Linked DNA regions of Diceros bicornis minor. The protein of the gene in region 2 purifies or fractionates together with the protein of the main gene of each other region. This does not show direct contact. Links are inferred from orthologs where the notes say so. Each region holds a gene or a part of one and is shown on either strand. Other genes may lie near its edges. The genes, in order: COPE, COPB1 and COPZ1.

What was found.
Region 1: the proteins of COPB1 (region 2) and COPE purify together in Homo sapiens (affinity purification with mass spectrometry; 6 studies listed by BioGRID and IntAct, with this or other methods). This does not show direct contact. The link is inferred for Diceros bicornis minor from reciprocal best matches to the Homo sapiens genes COPB1 and COPE.
Region 3: the proteins of COPB1 (region 2) and COPZ1 fractionate together in Homo sapiens (co-fractionation; 8 studies listed by BioGRID and IntAct, with this or other methods). This does not show direct contact. The link is inferred for Diceros bicornis minor from reciprocal best matches to the Homo sapiens genes COPB1 and COPZ1.

The regions. Positions count from the first base shown.
Region 1 is NC_080759.1:6,465,231-6,473,138, forward strand, and holds the start of COPE (coatomer subunit epsilon), read right to left. Parts: upstream 3,044-7,908; 5' UTR 2,993-3,043; coding exon 2,867-2,992; intron 1-2,866. Other genes in the region: probable ATP-dependent RNA helicase DDX49, read left to right, coding at 3,362-3,476, 4,321-4,444, 5,662-5,747, 5,835-5,956, 6,279-6,466, 6,588-6,728, 7,412-7,487, 7,764-7,840. UniProt on the Homo sapiens protein: The coatomer is a cytosolic protein complex that binds to dilysine motifs and reversibly associates with Golgi non-clathrin-coated vesicles, which further mediate biosynthetic protein transport from the ER, via the Golgi up to the trans Golgi network.
Region 2 is NC_080746.1:72,470,146-72,477,481, forward strand, and holds the start of COPB1 (coatomer subunit beta), read right to left. Parts: upstream 3,014-7,336; 5' UTR 2,909-3,013; intron 2,899-2,908; exon of another isoform or gene 2,874-2,898; intron 2,168-2,873; 5' UTR 2,108-2,167; coding exon 2,017-2,107; intron 1-2,016. UniProt on the Homo sapiens protein: The coatomer is a cytosolic protein complex that binds to dilysine motifs and reversibly associates with Golgi non-clathrin-coated vesicles, which further mediate biosynthetic protein transport from the ER, via the Golgi up to the trans Golgi network.
Region 3 is NC_080756.1:16,083,941-16,091,352, forward strand, and holds the start of COPZ1 (coatomer subunit zeta-1), read right to left. Parts: upstream 3,096-7,412; 5' UTR 3,050-3,095; coding exon 3,032-3,049; intron 1-3,031. UniProt on the Homo sapiens protein: The coatomer is a cytosolic protein complex that binds to dilysine motifs and reversibly associates with Golgi non-clathrin-coated vesicles, which further mediate biosynthetic protein transport from the ER, via the Golgi up to the trans Golgi network.

The DNA.
Region 1 (7,908 bases), on a different chromosome or scaffold from region 2:
CGCACAGTTCTGGAGGCCAGAAGTCCAAAATTAAGGTGTCAATAGGGCCGTGGCTCCCCACAAAGGCTCTCTAGGAGGATCCTTCTTTGCCTCACCCAGCTTCTGGGACTCCAGGTGTTCCTGGGCTTGTGGCTCATCACCCCAATCTCTGCCTCTGTCTTCTCTGTCTGTGTCTCAAACCTCTCTTTGCCTTTCTCTTAGAAGGACACTTCTCATTGGATTTAAGGCCCATCCTAAATCCTGGATGACTTCATCTAGAGATCCTACTGAATTACATCTGTAAAGACCCTTTTTCCAAGTAAGCTACATTCACAGGTTCTGGGTAGACATATCTTTTCAGGGACACCACTCAACCCAGTACAGCCTGCCCAGGACGGTTCAGGTGGCCTATGGATCAGAATTAAATCACATCAAATGGCTCAGGGGGGAGAGTGCTCCATTCTTCTGGATGCTTCAGGGAGAACACCTTGGCTTGGTGGCAGCACCTCTTGATCACATCGCCAAAGAGGGCGCAGGTCCCCAGCTCAGAGGCTGAGCAGTGTGCCTCCAGCCAAAGTGACCACTGACATGGTTTCCATATCTTCATTTTCAGACACTCTCTATGTGCAGCAGGTCATGCTGGTTCTCCCTTTCAGCAGCAGTGTATAGTCTGCATATAATGACTCAAAAGAACACATCGCTATGAAGTAAGCAGAACAGACATACGGTAGAAGTCAAAAGGTGGAATGTGAGTGTAACACTGAATCTCACAGTGACCCTAATGAGATAGGCATCATTTTTCCCATTTGACAGGAGAGGAAAACAGAAGCTCAAAGAGGTGCAATGACTCAGCCCTGGTAGCAGAGCCGAAATCTGAGCCCAGGTCTGTCTCAATCTTCTCGCAGCCCACACTACCCCAGCCAAGAGACACATAAAATTGTGGTGGTGAGCCAAATAAGGCACCCCCCACCCCTGCTGCCCAGAGATGTCCACACCAGTCCTTGGAATCTGTGAATAGCTTACATCACGTCACAAAAGGGACTTCAGAGCTGTGATTAAGGTTATGGACCCTAAGAGGGGGAAACTATGCTGGGTTATCTGGGAGGGCACAGCCCAATCACAGAAGCTGATAGCAGCTAACAGACAGAAGGAATGCAGAAGGGGAAATTCGAGAGATTCCAACTGTGAGAACCCCACGGCTAGTTCTGAGATGGAGGGGCTACATGGAGGTTGAGAATTGGAGAGAAGCTTCTAGGAGGTAACTTAGGTGGTCCCAGGCAGAGAGCCAGCAACCTGAATGAGTTTGGAAGCAGATTCTTCCCTGGAATCTCCAGAAAAGACACAGCCCACCTGACAATTTGATTTTAGCCTGGTGAGCCGTGTTGGACTTCTGACGTATAGAAACTTTGAGATAAGTTTGTGTCATCTTAAGCTATTGTTTGAGATAATTTGTCCCGGCGGCAACAGAAAACTCATGCAATCATGCAAACGTTATTTCAAGAAATCCAAACCGCTTTCTGAAATCTGTTTGAGGCTTTATCCCCATTATACAGATGACGTGCAGGGAAATCAGGTACACTGCAAAAGGCGAAAAGCATGGAAAACAAGCCTTCTCTACTTCAGAGTCTAAATTCCTCCCAACTCTCTGGCTGCCTCTGTGAAGACACCTGCCACTCTCTCACTAGGTGCTCCAGTGGCTTCCTGTGCCTTTAGAATAAAATCTAAAGCCCTGCCGTGACCCCAAGGCCCTGCCCACCTCATTCTCATCCTCCCCATCGCTTGCCCCACTTCTGCTACACTGACCCCTTATGCCTGGGCTACGCCAAGCTCATCCCTGCCTCAGCACTTTTGCAGCAGTTTATGGGGTCAGACGCCTCTCAAGATTCAGCCTCAGGTTCAAATGACAATCAGAGAGGCCTGGCCTGATCTGACCACTCCCACATGAAGCAGCACCCTCCTTCTCCATTCTCAGCACTTTTTATCTACCCCCATCCCCAGAGTGCTCAAGTTGTAACTACGTATTCACTAGCTTCTTTACTTGCTTACTCTCTTTGGAACACTAGACTGTGAAGGCAGGCAAGACTGCCAATTTCACTGCTCTTAAAAGTTCTCCAATGGTTCACTCTCGCAGTGTCAGTAACATCATGTCCCTCCCCAAAAGTTGCTGCTAATGGCCCCTGGTGCCCCCTCTCCTGTCACTGGCTGGCTGGGCCCTGCCTTGCAGGGCTATTTTCTAGCTCTCAAACAGCCAAGCTCATTCCCACCACTCTCCATCACGCCACCTCTTGACTTCTTGTTTATTTACTCCTTTACTGTCTGTCTCCCTTGAGAGGCTGAGGTTTCTGAAAATGCTAGGAGTTTTGTCTGTTTTGTCACTGCTCTGAGCCCAGCACGAATACACTACTTGGCCCACAGAGATGCTCAATGAGGAACGAACGAATGAATAACTGAACAAGCACGTCTGGGGACAAATGACCGGGCTAGTGGGGCAGGATAACACCGGGGAAGCCATTTCTCTCTTGAGCCTCAGTGTTCTCTGTAAAATGAGGATAAACAGCAGTCCCTACTTCACGGGAATTGAGGGTCTGGCGGAACAGTGTGGGCCGCTCAACAAAGGAGAACATTATTACTACATGATACAAATGCCTCTCTTACTCCAATGCTTCCAGGACGCAGAGCGAGCGCTCTGAGTGAGAAGCACTATGAACTGTTACTGCTCTGAGATTTGCTATGGGACAAGATAACTCCTCACCGCGCTCTCAAGAGATGCGTGAGGGGAAACCGCCGCGAGAAGAGGAAGCGTTCTTAAAGTCAGACCGCGACTCGCGGCCACCAGGCAGCTTCCTCCGTCCCCGCCCCCAGCGTCCCGGGCCCGGAGCGGCCGCACCTTCACCCGCTGCGCCTCATTGATGCACTGCTGGTAGCTCCCAATGTAGAAAGCATTCTTCACGTCGAACAACTCGTCCACCTCCCCTGAGCTGCCGGAGGCCGGGCCGGGGGCGGGAGGCGCCATATCGCTATCGTCGCAACCGCTCTTCTTCCTGAGGGACACGTCGGCCGGAAGCAGGGGGCCACCGCGGGGCCGGGAAATGTAGTTCACTCGTTCCGGCCTGGAGATGAGCCAATGGGAGACGCCTAAACGGGGGTACGGGGGACGCGAGTGCGTCTCGCAGGGCATCTCGGGAATTGTAGTTTGATTCGATCCTGCGAGCCAATGGGATTCGGGGAAATATGGTAAGGATGCGGTCGATGGCAGAGTGAGCTGGAGAGGGCGGGACCATGCAGGAGGCGGATCCAATTAACGGGAGAGGTTTCGTGACGTCATCAGCACGCGCCGGAAGCGCCTCTACACACGGCTGCTCACACGGGGCTGGCGGCGAGGATGGCCGGCTTCGCGGAGCTCGGCCTGTCGTCGTGGCTGGTGGAACAATGTCGGCAGCTGGGTTTGAAGCAGCCCACGCCCGTACAACTCGGCTGCATCCCCGCCATCCTGGAGGGTGAGTGTGGCCCGGCCTCTTCCCAGAGGCATCTCCACTCCTGTTGCCTCTCATTCTTTGCCCACGCCGGTCCTGTGAGGCGTGGGGCAGGCTTGGGCGTTACGGGCGAGTGTAGGTTCCGGAGGCAGACTGGGCAGTGTTGGTGTTAGGCTGTGTGTCCTCGCACAAGTGATATAATCTCTGAAACTTTTATAGCTTCAGAACAGGGAGGGTTTCATAAATGATTAATCGATAGTACTGGGAAGATTTGGTAGAGTTTGCACTACTTATCTTCATTTTACAAATGGAAACTGAGGCTGTCAACATTACTGGTAAATCCAGGACGCTGGTCCCGTGACTGCTCTTCTCCCCACTCTTCTGGCCCGACCTAATTTGCCATTACTGAGGGGCCCTCAAGAAGCCTAGGATGAGACAATTTGAGGGATTAAATAAAGATGGAAGAATTAACAGGGAGCATAGGATGCAGATTGGGGAGGGCATTCCAGGTTCCCCAAGCTCAGGTGCTCTGGAAGGGAGTCAAAATGAGGTAGTGGTCAGTAGCAGGCATATTGGGTCAGATGGATGAGGGTTCCAGTCTAGTCTGGCATCAGCCAGCCGTGTGTCCTGGACAAATCTCTGAGACTCATTTTTGCCTTCTGTTAAATGGGGATGATAACGGCCTTTCCCTCCTAGAATTTGTCAGTTACCAGCAATGGAACGTTGTCAGTATGTTCGGAGGGGAAATGGCATAGGCAGTACTGGGCACACAGTAACTGCTCATTAAATGTCAGCTGTTGTCAACTGTGCCAAATGGAACACCCGTCTACACCTAAAGTGTGTTGATGCTGCTTTGCCCTCTGCCCAGGTCGGGACTGCCTGGGCTGTGCCAAGACAGGCAGCGGCAAGACAGCAGCGTTTGTCCTGCCCATCCTGCAGAAGCTGTCTGAGGATCCCTATGGCATCTTCTGCCTCGTCCTGACACCCACCAGGTGAGCCCCCTACAGGTCTCCTGGGTAAGTTAACCAGCTGTGCTCTCAGGCAGGCGCCTTTACCTTGCTGAGCAACACTTTCCCCATGTGCAAAATGGGGACAGAAATCGAGGCCACCTCATAGGAGTGCTGCAGAATTAAACAAGACGGTGTGCCAAAAGTGCTGGGCACAGGGCTTGCCTCAGGGCAGGCACTGCCGGAAAGGAGCCATCAGTAGTCTTACAGCCCAAGAAATACAGTCACTTGCCACGTAACGATGTTTCGGTCGACAACAGACCGCATATATGGCAGTGGTCCCATAAGATCAGCGCCATAGAGCCCGGGTATGTAGGAGGCTGCACCCAGGTTTGTGTAAGTGCACTCTGTGATGTTCGCACAACCATAAAATTGCCTAACAACGCATTTCTCAGAACGGGTTCCTGTCAAGTGATGCCTGACTGTAAACACATCTCCAGTTCTTGGGCAGACACGTGTGGCAGTTGAAATGACAAGTCCTGTGATGGCCACAGAAGAGGCAGGCGCTGCATGCTGTTGAGGGCGTGGCCAGGGAAGGGGGCGTCGAGGAAGGCTTCATTCAAGGGGTGCCTTAATGGATGGAAAAGGTCTCTCAAGAGGACAAGTTTGGGGAAAGCATTCTAGGCGGAGAGATCTGCTAGTGCATTCATGCAGAGGTCTGAGAGGCAGGGAACAGAAAGGGTCCTGTGGGCCAGGTGTGTTAGAGCCAGCTTGAGAAGGGCCTTGAATGTCAGGTTAGAATTGATTCAGAAGGTGTGTGAGCAGGAAAGGGCAAGACAGGAGGCCAGGAAGTGGGGACAGGGGCCGAGGAGAGGCCTGGGCAGAGCTGGGCCTGAGGCACAGAGGAGGGGACTTGGACACTGACCAGCCCCGGGGAGGGGGGACTGATGCTCGGGTCTCAGGCTTTGGTGACTGGTGTTGAGACCATTGCTGAGGACGTGGGAGGAGGAAAGGCCAGTTTGGATGGGACTGGGGGGGGGGGCAGGGCCCTGGGCTGATCTGGGGCCCAGCCTGGGGAGGGTGCAGGGGCCACAGCGGGCCTCCAACGCTCAGCATCAGAGCCTTTGACCACAGGGGACTGGGAGCCCTGAAGGGTGTGTGAACGGGAGAGGGTGAGTCAGGAGACGCCGGCGGGTGGAGACAGGAATGGGAGAAGGCACAGAACCCCTATCTGACCCAACCCGGCCTCTTCATGCCCACAGGGAGCTGGCCTACCAGATCGCAGAGCAGTTCCGGGTCCTGGGGAAGCCTCTGGGCCTGAAAGACTGCATCATCGTAGGCGGCATGGGTACGGAGGGCTCGGGGAGGCTCTGAGTGTGGCCCTCTGCAGCCTTGGACCACCTGCCCAGCCCCACCTCTCGCCCTTCACCCACAGACATGGTGGCTCAGGCCCTGGAGCTCTCCCGGAAACCACACGTGGTCATTGCCACTCCGGGGCGCCTGGCAGACCACCTCCGCAGCTCCAGCACCTTCAGCATAAAGAAGATCCGCTTCCTGGTGAGTTGGCCTGGGGCGCTGATTCATCTATTTGGGAAACATGCGTCCCACAGGCCATGCAGTAGAGCTTTGGGAACAGTGACAAGGACACTCAGGGACCAACGAGGGGACCTGTACTAGGAAGATGGTTGGGGCAGGGTCTCTCGGAGGAGCTGACGTAGAAGCCAAGATGGGTGAGGGAGCAGGCCTCCGAGACCTAGAGGGACAGTTCTCCAGGGCTCACATCCAAGGCAGGGAAGGAGGCACATGGGGGAGGCGGGTCAGGCCCCAGACAGCACCCTCACCCCAGATCCACCCCCACCCCCCGCCACCGGCACCGCAGGTGCTGGATGAGGCGGACCGGCTGTTGGAGCAGGGCTGCACTGACTTTACTGTGGACCTGGAGACCATCCTGGCGGCCGTGCCGGCCCGCAGGCAGACCCTGCTCTTCAGTGCCACACTGACCGACACGCTCCGGGAGCTGCAGGGCCTGGCCACCAACCAGCCCTTCTTCTGGGAGGCTCAGGCCCTGTAAGAGCAGCAGCGCAGGCAGGGGGTGGGGGGGCATCCCCAATGGAGGCTATTACCCGTGGGCAGGGCGGGGCATTGGCCCCATTCAGCAGAAGGGGACACATGGCGCACCTGTCCCCAGGGTACGCACGGTGGAGCAGCTGGATCAGCGCTACCTGCTGGTGCCTGAGAAGATCAAGGATGCCTACCTGGTCCACCTGATCCAGAACTTCCAGGACGAGCACGAGGACTGGTCCATCATCATTTTCACCAACACGTGCAAGTGAGCTTGAGCGGGCCCCCCCCCCCGAGCCCTTCACGGAGGCCCAAGAGGGGCCAAGGTGCAGATGTGAGGCACACGGCCAGACTCGGTGCTGTGGGGCCTCTGCTCAGACCAGAGATTTCAGAGAACTCTCTCAAGGATGCTCAGAGAGACCAAGGGATTCGCCATGGTCACTTCTCCTGAAGCTGGAGCCAGGATTTGGGGTTTTTCAGACCTGCCCTTAACTAGAAGGGCCAGGGGCCTCGGGCTGTCCCCAGGAACCCCTGCAGCAGATTTGCTATGCTCTAGGGTGTCACTGAGGCCCAGCGCACCAGCACCCAGGCTGTTGTCTCTGCAATCCCAGGGGTCCCTAGAGCCAGTTCAAGTCGGCTCCTCCTCTGAAGCTTTTGGGGAGATGTCAAGAAGATGTAGGCTATTCCAGTATGAGCTAGGATAGAGGGGCAGTCCACGTTGCATTGAGGAGGCCTCCTAACTGGCTGCTGCCCTCCAAGAACTTATTGGCTACCAGAAACGTCTGGATATAGGGGTGACTCGTTATCTTAGGCCAGGGAAAGGGTCAGCAGAGAGGATGTTACCAGCGAGGACACCCCACACCCCTGCTTCTCCTTTCCCAGCTGTGTAGGGCCACCTGCTTGGGGTCTCAGGGGTGGGCTGCAGGGGTTGACAGCACACCCTTCCCACAGGACCTGCCAGATCCTGTGCATGATGCTGCGCAAATTCAACTTCCCCACCGTGGCCCTGCATTCCATGATGAAACAGGTGAGACGGTGGGCTGCCCCAGAGACCCCGTCGCCCATCTGCCTCGCCCTGGGGACTCCTCCCAGCTTCAGGGCCTTTGCCCAGGCTCCTCCCTATTCCTGCCAGTCGTCTGCTCCATCTGGTCTTCCCACGGTCGTCTTGCTTGCTGGGCTGTGAACCCCGTGAGGGCGGGGATGGTCCCGGCCTGTCCCCAGGCCTCACACACTAAGTGCTCAAACGTTTGCTGAGATGCCCCCTGACCCCAGCTCCCCTGCTTCTCTCCCTGACCCGGCACAGAAAGAACGCTTTGCCGCCCTGGCCAAGTTCAAGTCTAGCATCTACCGGATCCTGATCGCGACAGATGTGGCCTCCCGGTGAGCAACCCCAGGGTACTTCCTCCCATTCGCTGGTCCCCTGGTGCCCACAGAGGGGCCAGAGGGGG
Region 2 (7,336 bases):
TAAAAAAAACTATACAGCCCCCCTAACCCCAATTTCCATTTATTCCAACAATTCAAATTGAGGTGAAGGATGCTTCTTTCCACATATTCAAAATTTTCAGAACTTATTTTCCTCTATGAACACTACTGAAAATTTCAAATATCAAGTCAATTCATCAAAATACACTAGGTATGTCCTACTCCAGGGAATGTATAGCTATCAGAGCTCATACCCAGCGATAAACGGTAAAGAAAAGCGTAGGTAAAGCAACTCAATGTTTCACGAAACAAAAAAATATTTGTTATTCAAACTGGAAACTACTTCCAAACTTTGTCTCATCTCAACTCTTTTGAGAGAAAGTCAAAAATATACATAAAATTCAAGACTACTTACTTATTTATTGGTAGGGGGAGAGTAGTTAAGAAAAGAGTATGGTTACAATTAAGGACAGATTTTTGTTTTTTATCTTCCCAGCTATAACTTTAAGGAATTTGGGGGTCTAAAAATGAAAAGTTTTAAATTATAAGAAAAAAGTAGCAACGAAAGCGTATTCATTAACTTGCATTCTATTCTATCTTACATAAATATGGGGGAAGAAAAGGAAATATATGTGGCTTTTGTATATAAGGAGTATCAGTTTAAACGTCACAAAAGAGGGTTTCTTTGTCCTTCTCTAAAAATAGACCTTGAGGCCAGCCCCGAGGCACAGCGGTTAAGTTCTCGAGCTCTGCTGCTGGCGGCCGGGGTTCGGATCCAGGGTATGCACTGAGGCTCGGCTTGTCAAGCCATGCTGTGGCAGGCGTCCCATATAAAGTAGAGGAAGATGGGCACAGATGTTAGCCCAGGGCCAGTCTTCCTCAGCAAAAAGAGGAGGATTGGCATTGATGTTAGCTCAGGGCTGATCTTCCTCACAAAATAAATAAATAAATAAATAAAAATAGACCTCAATAGGAACCTAATATTAAGTAACCTAAAATCAGGAGGTATTCCATTACTGCTGATTGAGAGGTGGAAATACGCAAGTAAAATATTGTCTCCTTTCAAACTGCAAACCAGAGATTTGAAGCGTAATTTGCACTCAGTTTTAAACAGTAGTTATCAGTTTAACTTATTTTTAGTAGTTCAATTAAACAATCATTATTTTGGAATGTGCACTATTTAAAAAAATTTTTTTGACAATCACTCACAAAAAGGAGACACAGCATACACTGTTAAAATTAAGAAATATGTTTTCTTCTTTGCATAAATGCTTTAAAAATGAAAAGCTTAAACCTTCCTGCAAAACACATGTGTATTCCAGTGTTGACTTCATTTATTCAACAGGTGGTGAACCCAAAGAACCAAGTTCTTTTGGTTTTACAAGCTAAGTAACACGAAGTTAAGAGCACAAAGGAACTAAGACATTCAAATACACACTCTCAACCTGTTACCTACAGAGAACTGTCAGCTACATTTAAGCATAATGCATTAAACGACACAAGCCATTATGTTATTTTGAAGAATATCTAACAACTAAACTATTACATTTCTTTTTTTTTTTAATTTTTATTTATTTATTTGGAAGGAAGATCCGCCCTGAGCTAACATCTGCCAATCCTCCTCTTTTTGCTGAGGAAGACCGGCCCTGGGCTAACATCCGTGCCCATCTTCCTCCACTTTATATGAGACGCCGCCACAGCATGGCTTGACAAGCAGTGCGTCCGTGCGTGCCCGGGATCCGAACCAGCGAACCCTGGGCCACTGTAGCAGAGCACACACACTTAACCGCTTGCGCCACTGGGCCAGCCTCTAAACTATTACATTTCTTTAGCTTTACTAAGCTAAACTGAGATGTTTTATTTCCAAAAACAAATACTACAAGTCTAAAGGTAGCAAGTTTTCATTTTTAATAAGACAAAAGGTCTATTGAAGAGATCCTAGAAAAAAATATTTAGACAAAAGCTAAGCATTTCTAATTATAAAGAACTTGAAGTACACATGAGCTTTTTCTTTTCATTTTTTTCCATTTAATATTTTCCAAATATTATCAAAGTTTACCTAGATCATTTTTTAAGCTAATTTCAGATGGTGGTTCTGAATCCATTGGCACGTTAATTAACGTATAGCACACATTCTCAGCAGCCGTCATGGTTTCCGGTTATAAATCAACCCTCGATACAAGATTTAAGGATGACAGATGCCAGAAAATCTAGAAAAATAAATACAAGGATATCATTACAAGTAAAAAAACAAAAACAGAAACCCAACCAGTAACTATCGTGATCTTTACTGTCTAAAGTTCAATCAGTTTTGTTTATGAGTTTTTATTAAAGTATTAGAAGGGCAGAGTCAATCTATACTGCGTACTATAAAAATAAAGCCTATTATAATAAAAAACACTTGTCAGCCTTGGCCTGAGGCATATTACCTCCCACCCCACAACCCCACCCAGAGTTTAGAGTGCTGTACTGCAGGATAGGCCCACAATACCGTCCGTGACAGTCCCCAAGCCCCATCCCACCATGTTACAGAAATGACTTTTTAACATAACACACAATCTGGACTGCTCATGTTAAGAGACCCTGTGCACGAATACTCTGCTAAAACTAAAGCGCTTCATCGCGTTGGTCGGTGGGGCCCGAGTCGGTGTACTTGGGTCCCTCAATCTGTGCGCTGCACCCCCACGCTCCTTCTCCGTCCCTTTCCTTCTGCAAAGCAGGCCTCGGCCTGAAGTGGCGAGCCCCGGGGGCCTGGGAGGGAGAAGACCCTGGCCAGGGCGCAGGCCGGGTGGGGAGTCCGGTCCAGAGCTGCCCAGCCTCCCGTTCCGCTCGCCAGGCGCGGCCCCAGCGGCCTACTCCTTCCCCTCCCTTATCCTCCCGCAGGAGAGCCAGTTCCCCCGACTCTGCCCAGCCCACCACGCCTCCGGGATTAGGGGCTCGTGGCCCGCCACCTGGCTCCGAGGGCAGCAGCGGGGGCAACGGCGGGACCGTCTACTCCGGCTCCAACCTGCAGCAGCGACGGCGGCTCGGCAGACTCCTTGGCTGACGTGGAAGGGGGTGGGCGGACGACCCAGGCCGCGGCCACCTAGCACCTACGGCAACTCAGAGAGGACATGCGTTCTCCGTCCTGCGGTTGCGCGCGGCAACTGTTTCCTGGAAGTTTCTTCCTCTTGTGTCATCCGGCTGGCTTAGGCCACAGAGGGAACTGGAAACCCGTATTTATAAGTTTTCCCTGCGAACCTGAATTAAGTGCTGTGACCATTTAAATGCTGCTTAGAAATTGTCTCTTCTTTCAGGAACTAAAACAGCCAAGGGGAGGAAGTGCTTGGAGAGAGGAGAAACGCATTTTATAGGGCTTTGTGGTCCAGTGGAAAAGAGCGCTAGACTGGGAGCTGGAAGCCCTTTTCTAGCTCACCCAGTGATAAACTGGGAAAGTAACTAACTACTATTTAGGAAAGTAACTTCAGTTCCTCTAATAAGGGATACTAGATTATATGAAGATCTATTTCAGTTTTTATCATCTGCAATAGTCTGAATCTCTGCCTCTGCAGTTAGGCTGGAGTTGCCTCAATGTTCAAGTCTCACTGGTATGATTTCTGGTCTTTATTTACTAACGGTCCCTTTCATGATGCTTTCTGAGTACCCAGTAGATTAAAATTTTTTTATGCATAAAGGGAGATCGGCAGTCACTGTTTTGTTTTTTTTAATACTTTTTTTTTCTTTTGCTGAGGAAGATTTGGCCTGTGCTAACATCTGTTGCCAGTCTTCCTCTATTTTGTATGTGGGTCTCCGCCACAGCATTCCCACCAATGAGTGGTGTAAGTCGGTGCCTGGGAACCAAACCCCGGCCCATGAAGCTGAGGGTGCCAACTTAACCACTACACCATGGCTGGCCCCAACAGTCACTGTTTTAAAGGATTTTACCTATCTCCAAAGACCTAATTGTTACAGCTACAGTCAGCCATGGCATCTTTGGTTTAGCTCATTTGAGGTTCCATATCCCCCCCCCCCGCAAAAAAAGGTTTTTCTGGCCAATTATTAATAAAAAAATTTTGACGTCTTTGAGAAAAATATTGTGAATACAAAGAGGTATGACAGAACCTGCACTTATTAACAGGTTCATCTCAGGGACATAGAACACAAATAGTGACTTACCCATCTAGAATCCAGCTATTTTGAGGTTCCTTCTTTTTGGAAACATTGAGTAAAAAGTAAAAATAAATTTTTTGAGCAACCAAAATATATTACAAAGGCCATGTGCTTATTGCACTTTCTAAGAGTGCTCCTCAAATCCTGTGCATTCATTTTTTAAAAACTGTTTATCTTGAGATAATTGTAGAGTGACATAAATACAGAGATCCCATATATTCTTCACCTAATTTTTTCCAGTGGTAACATCCTGCATAATTACAGTACAATATCAAATCCAGGAAATTGACATTGATACAATTCACTCGTCCTCAATCAGATGTCACCAATTTTACATGCACTTGTGTATTTAGTTCTAGGCAATTTTACCATGTTTAGATTCATGTGATCTCCATCAGTTGAGATACAGAACAATTCCATTACCAGGATACCTCCTGCTATCCTTTTATAGTCACAGCCGCTTCCTTCCTTAACCCATGGCACTAACCTGTTCTCCATCTCTATAATTTTGTCATTTCAAGGATGTAATATAAATGAATTATACAGTGTAACCTTTTGAGGTTGGCTCTTTTTCACTCAGCATAATTCCTTTGAGATCAACCCAAAATGTGTGTACAACAGGTTGTTCTATTTCTGTGTATTCATTTTTAACATGGAATTTTTACAAATGCAGTTATCTGGTTTCTAAGCCCACTTATTAAGAAGTGATGATCTATTGGCATGAAATGAGGCCCCAAAAAGCATAAAAACTAGAGTTAGCAATAAGAAAGCTCAGCAGTTTAGGGCAAGCATGGTGCAGGACTAACTGTGCCCTGGAGGCCCACTGTGTTACAGATTACAACTTGAGGCTTATCATGACTGAGTCATTAAGGAAACTATTAAATATGAAAAGGCAAGATAATGTATTTTATTATTTTTTTTAAACTTTTTTTATAAGGACAATTTTATTTTATTTATTTATTTATTTTGTGTGTGTGTGTGAGGAAGATCAGCCCTGAGCTAACATCCATGCTAATCCTCCTCTTTTTGCTGAGGAAAACCAACTCTGAGCTAACATCTATTGCCAATCCTCCTCCTTTTTTTCTTCCCCAAAGCCCCAGTAGATAGTTGTATGTCATAGTTGCACATCCTTCTAGTTGCTGTATGTGGGACGCGGCCTCAGCATGGCTGGAGAAGCCGTGCGTCTGTGCGCGCCCGGATCCGAATCCAGGCCGCCAGTAGCAGAGCTCGCGCACTTAACCGCTAAGCCACGGGGCTGGCCCCAAGATAATGTATTTTATAAAATCTCATTTTAGGTCTGCACTTAAAATTGTCATTGGCAGTATATATATTGTTGTATATATTTTTTTTCTGTCTCTATGTTTTTGTTTATTGTTATTATCTACTACTTAATGAAGGAAATCAGGGTATTTGACCTTCTCCCTCTGACTTATTTCACTTTGCATAATACCCTTAATGTCCATCCATGTTGTCACAAATTGTTGGATTTCATCGTTTCTTATGGCTGAGTAGTATTCCATTGTGTATATATACCACATCTTCTTTCTCCATTCGTCCCTTGATGGGCACTTAGGTTGCTTTCAAGTCCTGGCTATTGTGAATAACGCTGCAATGAACACAGGGGTGCATGTATCTTTATGCATTGGTGTTTTCAACTTCTTTGGATAAATACCCAACAGTGGAATAGCTGGATCATATGGTAGTTCTATCCTTGATTTTTTGAGGAATCTCCATACTGTTTTCCATAGTGGCTGCACCAGTTTGCACTCCCACCAGCAGTGTATGAGAGTTCCCTTCTCTCCACATCCTCTCCAACACGTTGTTTCCTGTCTTGTTAATTATAGCCATTCTGACGGACATGAGGCGATATCTCATTGTAGTTTTGATTTGCATTTCCCTGATAGTTAATGGTTTTGAACATCTTTTCATATGTCTGTTGGCCATCTGTATATCTTCTTTGGAGAAATGTCTGCTCAGGTCTTTTGCCCATTTTTTAATTGGGTTGTTAGTTTTTTTGTTGTTGAGATGCATGAGTTCTTTATATATTTTGGAGATTAACCCCTTATCAGATGTTGTATATTCTTAAATAGAGCTTGTTGAACATATATGAGGACGTTATATCGCCTAATTCTTCCTGACTTGTTATAACATGCATTTTGTTTTGGGACTTATTTTTACTTTAGCATGTAATTATCATTTGAATGCTCTTGAAATTATAAATTATTTGAGAGCAAGGACTTTGTCATTTACCAAGAATCATAAAAACTTAAATGTCTAGGAAATCAAGGCCTAGAGAAAAGGGACTTGCCCCCAAACCACAAAATGGTTAAACACTGAAAAAGCTGGGACAGGTGAATCCTGTCACCTACTTTACTGCCTCTTATTTTTAACCATACCAGTTCTTCAAAGATGCACATATAGATGCTTAACAAATTCCATGTGAATTGAATATTATCTTTATATCAAAGTGATAGATTTTATGAGAGCACATTATTAGGAATTTTATTGTTTATAATTATTTAACACAAACTAAATGGAATAAGAGCATAACATACTAGACAAAATGACATGAAAAGGCATCACAATGAACTCTGTACAGAGAGTGGGGTTGAATTTTATTGGGGTGGGGAGGAGTTCTAAAGTCTAAAGTCAGTGTATATGACTAAAATCACATATTGAAAAAATTACTAAAATTGCCCCAAAGTACAATACAGATTACTGTTTTTTTTCAGCTGAGCGCCAACCAAATAATGGTTTACACTTAAGAAACAGATACAAAAATGATAGCCAGCCCTGGTGGTCTCGAGGTTGATTCGGTGCTTTCACTGCTACACCACCCACCTGTCGGCTGTCCTACTGTGGTTGCTGCACATTGCTATGACACTGAAAACTATGCCACCAGTATTTCAAATACCAGCAGGGTAACCCATGGTGGACAGGTTTCAGTGGAGCTTCCAGACTAGGAAGGACTAGGAAGAAGGACCTGGCCACCCACTTCCAAAAAAATTGGCCATGAAAACCCTATGAATAGCAGCAGAGCATTGTCTGCTATGGCACGGGAAGGTGAGAGGATGGAGGAAAAAGACGGGTCAGGTTTCAGCTGTGCTGTACACAGGGTTGCTAGGAGTCGGAATCAACTCAATGGCATTAACAACAAATATGATACACATACACATAATCTTTAAATAGAATCACTCAACAGAGGCTCACACAATGAAAGTCACAGGGGA
Region 3 (7,412 bases), on a different chromosome or scaffold from region 2:
GCCGGCCCCGTGGCTTAGCGGTTAAGTGCGCGCGCTCCGCTGCTGGCGGCCCGGGCCGTCCCGGGCGCGGACCGACGCACCGCTTCTCCGGCCATGCTGAGGCCGCGTCCCACATACAGCAACTAGAAGGATGTGCAGCTGTGACATACAACTATCTACTGGGGCTTTGGGGGAAAAAATAAATAAATAAAATTAAAAAAAAAAAAGAAAGAAAGGTGACCCATTGTAAAGTACCTAAATGAAGGGAACCTACTGGTATTTAGAAATTCCCATAATCGGATCAAATTTCGATTGATGGTTCTTCTTGACCCCCTTCTAGCTTACCCTTCCCTTCTTCTCAATGTCCTATGGCTGTGTGCCTTGCAGAGGTGAGGATAGAAAAATATGCTTTGATCAGATTTCCTCAGAGGTCCAGCCAAACCAGGAAATAGAAATGTGAAAGAAGGAAGCCTAAAGGAATTTTAGAAGGTGTCTGTCCTCTCTAAAGAGTGGCTTGGTAAGCACCATCTGGGCACAGTAAACTCTTTAGTTCAGTAGAGAGGTAAGGTAAGATCCAGGGATTCCTCATACTTTTCATAATGAAGATGGTAACCTAAGAATAAGGAGATGCTGCTGAGTTGACAGACGAAGGGATGCGATTAAAAGGAGCAGTGAGGAAGGGTGATTCTGTATCAGATGGAGCTAAATTTTGTAGGCCAGCATGTGAGTCTAGTGAGAAGAGAAATAAAAATTCAGGAAATATCACCTGATTCTCAACTAGGGTTCCTCATATGAACGACCGAAAATTATTTAAATTATTTTCTCGCTTCTCCCATGGGCGGTACGAAACTAGTGCCTTTGTGGATACAGAGGAAAGAAGTTGACTCATAACACACAATGAATGCCTTAGGGCATTAAGGCTTAATTCTCTCCCGGAACTCCAGTTGAGAAGGGCTGGAATGGTGAGAAAGGTATATAAATTCTGCGGGCCAGAGGACGGCCTGGTGGCACAGCAGTTAAGTTCATATGCTCAGCTTTGGCGGGCCAGCGTTGGCAGGTTCGGATCCCGGGGGCAGACCAACGCAACGCTTGTCAAGCCATGCTGTGGCGTCATCCCATATAAAGCAGAGGAAGATGGGCACAGATGTTAGCCCAGGGCCAACAGTCCTCAGCAAAAAGAGGAGGATTGGCAACAGATGTTAGCTCAGGGCTAATCTTCCTCACACATGCACACAAAAATTCTGCAGCCTCAAAATATATTCAAATTGTAAAGAGCAAAAAACAAAAAATGTTGGACAGAACCAACACAGAGGAAGGAAAATACTAGTTGAATATCCTAAGAATCCTGGAGACCAGCACAAGAACTGATACCTGTTGGCACTTCGTCCCCAACAAAAGCTTTATGTAACTGATGGATGAAAGTACAATTTTGCATATAGAAGAGGTGGAAAGCCCATGGTGTGCTATCATCAGAGAGGGACTTGCTCTGGGACGATTAGGAACCAGAATCTAATCCTAATTTTGACACTGTGCTTCCTTGAGCAAGCTCTTTTCCCTATACCTGGGTTTCCCCTAACCCTATTACATAGGTTCCTCACAACAAAGAATCAGTATGGTTTTTAAAGCAAAGTTCAGGGGTACCTGACCCGGTTAGCAAGGATCTGTGAATGCGGCATCTTAGGTACAGATCAAAATGCATATTAGGAAGAAGCAAGAAATAGACTTCACTGAGGAAGCAGAGACAGAGAACTGAGGTCAAAGAAAATGTGACCGACAGACTTTCACATATAACTCCCTCAACTCACCACAACACACAGATCCCTTGTTAAAAGGGCTCCCCAAGTATCATCTCTCTCACTCTTTTACCTCTAAGCAGGTTCCCTTCTAAACAGATGTAGGGAGCAGTCTAAAAATTTCTAAAAACTTCCAAAGAAATCAATTCCCTAGAATTTCTCCCAGTCTGCTAACTGTTTAAGAATACTGGTTAACTGCCTGGTATAGAAAATATCTTACTAAAAACTACTCACATTTTAAGCTTTCTATCTAGACTTGACTAACCCATATGACGAGAAGGAATTATCTCTATCTTTGCCATTTTGAAAGAGGGGAATTAAACCCGTATTCTCTTTACCTGTTGAGGATCTGAATGTGTACATGTATTAGAGCTGAAGGAAAAAAAAAAGACAGGAAAGAGGCCTCGAGTTCAACTCAAGGAAGGAGCTGGAAGCTAAACTCCTACACAGAGGTGTGTTAACAACCTCAAATTGCAAAACAGGGCCCTTTTGAGAGAAATGCTCTGGTCCAGTTCTAAAGAAGGAGTTATTCTATTTGTTTAAACAAGCAAAAAGGATCATATGGACAAGGGAGCTAATACACCCCTTTAGCCACCAAAATTCTCATATAACCAGAGGGCGAGTTAGCATCCCAGATCCTACAATAAGAATTCCTAAGGTTTAAATGGGGGAGGGAAAAGGAGAACAGAATAAGGAGTCTGGAAAAATATTCCAAATCCACGCTAACTCTATCAGGTATTCCAGAACTTGGATGGAATACTGATTCTTCATCATGACAAATCCACATAAAAGGGATAAACTGAAGTAAAAAGAAAACAGTTTCTTGACGGAATGATCAACACAGAGTCAAACCATCAGGAGGAGCCTGTGATGACAAACACCTGCCCTCTATTATTACAATTTGGGGCGAGTTTGGAGGTTTGGGGAAACTCAAATCAGGGTATCATCCACAATGCTCAGAATCAGGGGGAACCTGAAGGACCCCAATCCACTGCGCTTATGATCCTATGTGTCTCAAAGAGTCCACGTGCTCCCTTCAACTTTCCACCGACTCTGCCCTCTCCCCGGCGGAGCTTTCTACTCTAAACCGAGGCTTTAGCTCCTGCGCTAGGCCACACGCTTATTCCACAGGCCGGCAGAACCTTCGGTCCCCGAGGATTACCCGGAACTCCTCTTTCTCCCCACTCCCAGTCAAGTTGAACCCCTACTCCCGGCCCCTGTGGACACCGCAGTATCCCAGCTGCCCCCCCGGCTCCTACCAAAATCAGCGCCTCCATCTTGCCCCGCAGCCGGTGCCGACGTGGAGCCGCAAAAGCAACGCCGCCGCTGATTGGCCCTACGCCCTCATGAGGCGCCGCCCAGGATGGGGGTTATTGGACTACCAGGTGCCAGCTATTGCTCTACTGACCAATCAGTGTACTAGCTTGCTTAGCGGAAGCAAGGCGCCCAACCAGAAGGCGCAAGTATTTGATTGTCAGTTTAAACACTCAATAAAACGCCAAAACCTCAAGCCTGAACGGGGCGGGAGGGCCAGTGGGGCGGGGTTGTTTCCATGGGGAACAGGGGAAGCGATTATTAATTTTCGATTGGCTGGGCGAAGGGCATGTGATACCTCCCGTCTGATTTAGCAACTTTAATCCGCACTCCCTTTAGGGGGCGCTGTGTCTCTTTAGCCCTTAACACTGGCAGCGCCTGAGAGAATCCTACCCTAATCCCCATTCCAAGAGCCCCCGTTAGGTCCCTGATATCCATGGTTGCTTTGGCCAACAATGCTAGCTCTCCCCTCAGACTCTCTCAGGTCACTTCAGCAACCTCACAGCAAGTCTGCACAACCATAGAGTAAAGCCAAGAGATGCCCAGCATGTTAACTAGATAAACCAAGGCCACCAGAGGTTGATTGCTGGAGTAACGATCTCCCCATTGTGGTGTTCCTGGCTTTGCTGGGCCCAGGGAAGGACAAGCAGCCAGTGAGTTTCTAAAAACAGATTTTCTTTGGCCGGACGTGAAACGGGATGTTAGAACTTTGGAGACCGAAGAGGAAAGAGTAGGAGGGACAAAGGGGTAAAGGGTCCAGGATAAAGGAGGGTATAGGGAGCAGGGTCTGCGGTTTTCCAGTAGGGACAAGCCGTTGCAAAAACGAGAAAAGAGAAGTTTACCGAATGCAGGGATTTCACAATAGGGAAGGGCTTTGATAAAGTTTAGCTTTCACCTACCTCTCGGTTCCTTGGTCCCCAATCCCCCTTAGATCAGGGACACCTTCTGTTGCCTTATATTATCTCCAAAGTGTTTGTGTTTTTTTTTCCCCCCATCTCTGACAATTATGTCTTTAGGAGCCCTCCAAGAAGGGCATCAAAACGAGGAATTTTTCTAATAATTTCAGAGTAGAGTTAGAGGACCTAAGAAAAAAGTATAGAACAATACAAAACAAACTACAGAGCTAACATATGCTATGAAGGAAAGTATATGACTTTCTGGTGAAGTCACAGGTGACAAGCCTCATATCTGGAAGAAACAAGGGCTTAGCCTTTATCTATTCTGAATGGGGAGTTATTCCAGCATTTAGCACTGTGCCTGGCATCACAAGGTTGTCCTTGGCTTGCTAGCTTAATATTAACATTTATTGACCACTTACTATGTGGCAGGCACATGCTAAATCTTTGAATACACTATTTAAAATATGTTTAAAACCCTTATGAAGTAGATGGTTATTACTCCCATTTTACGGATGAGAAAAGTGGAGCTCGGAACAGTTAAATAATTTACTTAAGGCCATACAACTATTAACTGGCATCCTTACATTTGAGCATAGGAGGTCTGGTTCTAAAGCCATGTTCTTACCCACAATCCACTCCTCTGACTTGTGGTATAGCCTCTCTTTCGTCCCGGTCCTACCTGAAGTACCCTACACCAGAGCCAGATGTTCTAGAGGGACCATGAGGAGGAAAAATGTGTGATGTGGTTGGTTGGGGAGGAGGGGACTCCTCTTTCTTTGATTGTGGAGTAACTGACAAATTTTAACAGTCAGCCATTGTTCCAGAAAATGGCTGATTCTTAGCTCTCCAGCCTATTGAGTAACTATGGGGAGTTAGTGGTGAGGAGAAGACAACTAGCTGAATCGGAAATATTCTTGTCATGACTTTGCCTTAATAAGTGGGAGACTTCTGGCAAGTCCTTGTACCCTCTCTGGACTACAGCTGCCACTTCTGGAAAATGGGGAGGCTCAGACCAGAGTTTTCTAAGGCCCTACCTAGTGTTCAAGTTCTGTGATCATTCCTGCTCCTTTTGTTTCCATCTTCCCTTCACCTGGAAAACCTTCAAGAACCAATCAAACGTAAAATGCATATGTTCCCTCTCCCTCTCTCCCTCTCTCTCCCTGTCTCTGTCTCTGTCTCGCTCTATGTATTTATATGTATACACACATAATATAAAACCATGTATATATGGTTACAAACAATTTATTAAAAATGAGTGGAGGAAAAGACTGAAAGGAAACACAACAAAATGTAACCAGTGGCTGTTTTGAAGTAGTAGGACTTTTTTCAGTGTTTCCATATTTTTCCAGGTATTCTAAAATGTGTGGGTGCTATTTTAAAAGGAGAAAAATAGGGCCGGCCCCGTGGCTTAGCGGTTAAGTGTGTGCGCTCCGAGCTAGCACCGACGCACCGCTTCTCCGGCCATGCTGAGGCCGCGTCCCACATACAGCAACTAGAAGTGTGTGCAACTATGACATACAACTATCTACTGGGGCTTTGGGGGAAATAAATAAATGAAATTTTAAAAAATAAATAAATAAAAGGAGAGAAATGAGCTATTTTTTAAAGAACAAAATCAACATCTTCTTCTCATGAAGCCTTCCCTGATGTCCCAGGTGGAGTTGGACACTTTCTCCTTGCTGCCATCGTTTACGGTCGTAGGCATTTTGTAAGACATCAACATAACACCAGACTTGCCATCTGAGGCAGTGCCTTGTCCCATACATTTGTGTGTGTGTGTATGTGTGTGTGTATGTGAGGAAGATCAGCCCTGAGCTAATATCTGCTGCCAATTCTCCTCTTTTTGCTGAGGAAGATTGGCCCTGAGCTAACATCTGTGCCCATCTTCTTCTACTTTATATGGGACGCTGCCACAGCATGGCTTGACAAGTGGTGCATGGTGCGAGCCCGGGATCCGGGCCTGCGAACCCCGGCCACCGAGCCGAGCAAGTGCACTTAACCGCTACGCCACTGTGCTGGCCCCTGTCCCATTCATTTTATTTCCCTAGCACCTAGCCCTCAAACGGTAAATCCTCAAACAGTAAGTGTTTACTGAATGGAATGAATATTTGTAAAAATGCAAGATACAAAGATGAATGAGCAGTGTCAAAGGGCAGTTCAGGGTTAAATATCAAGAGGCACAGATACTGAGGAGGGAGTGATCCCTGAGGATGGGAGCTGGGGGAGGTCAAGGTCTAAGAGAAGAGGGTGAGTTAGGCCTTGATTCATTCATGCATTGATTAAATGACAGGTGGAGTTTGGTAGGAATAAAGGTATGGAGGTTGGGATGTGTAAGGAATCTTTTTTTTTTTTTACTTTTTAAATTGTAAAGTAAAAAAATATTTTATTTAGTGTTATACACAACATAAAATTTACCATTTTAACCATTTTAAATGTGCAGTTCAGTGGCCTTAAGCACATTGTTATGCAATCATCACCACTATCCCTCTCCAGAACTTTTTCATCATCCCAAACTGAAACTCTGTACCCATTAAACAATAACGCTCGGTTCTCCCCTCCCCCATAGACCTTAGTAACCACTAGTTTACTTTCTGTCTCTACGAATTTAACTGTACTTGTACCTTATATAAGTGGAATCATATAATATTTGTCCTTTTGTGTTTGGCTTATTTCACTTAGCATAATGTCTTCACAGTTGTGTAAGAAATCTTTGAGGGATTGATTTCATAGCACAGAGGATTGAAATAAAGAAATAGGGAAGAGGATGGAGTAAAACTGGAAAGGTACTTTGTGGCCAGATTGTGAAATGCCTTGAATGCAAACCTAAGTAGTGGGACCAGATGACCATGGGAGTTGGAGCTTACACTCTTGGAAAGTGTTATAGCAACATCCTATAAAATTAAACATGGGTACATCCCCTCCTAGAAATTAAAAACATAACCCAGTACATAGTGATACATATATAAGAATGCTTATTGCAACATTGCTTACAATAGCAAAAAATAACATTATTGTCTATCAATAGGAGGATAGTTGAACAGATTATTTTACATCCAGACTGTGGAGTAATATGCAACTAATAAAAAGGAATGTTAAGCCATATGCTTTAACCTGGAGAAATGGTAATGGCATGATTTTTTTGGTTTGTTTGTTTGTTTGTTTAATTTTATTTATTTTTTTCCCCCCAAGCCCCAGTAGATAGTTGTATGTCATAGCTGCACATCCTTCCAGTTGCTGTACGTGGGACACTGCCTCAGCATGGCTGGAAAAGCGGTGTGCCGGTGCGCGCCTGGGATCCGAACCCGGGCCGCCAGCAGCAGAGCACGCACACTTAACCGCTAAGCCGTGGGGCCGGCCCAGGTAATGGCATGTTAAATGAAGAAAAGTATGTTGCAGGGGCTGGCCCCATGGCATAGTGGTTAAGTTT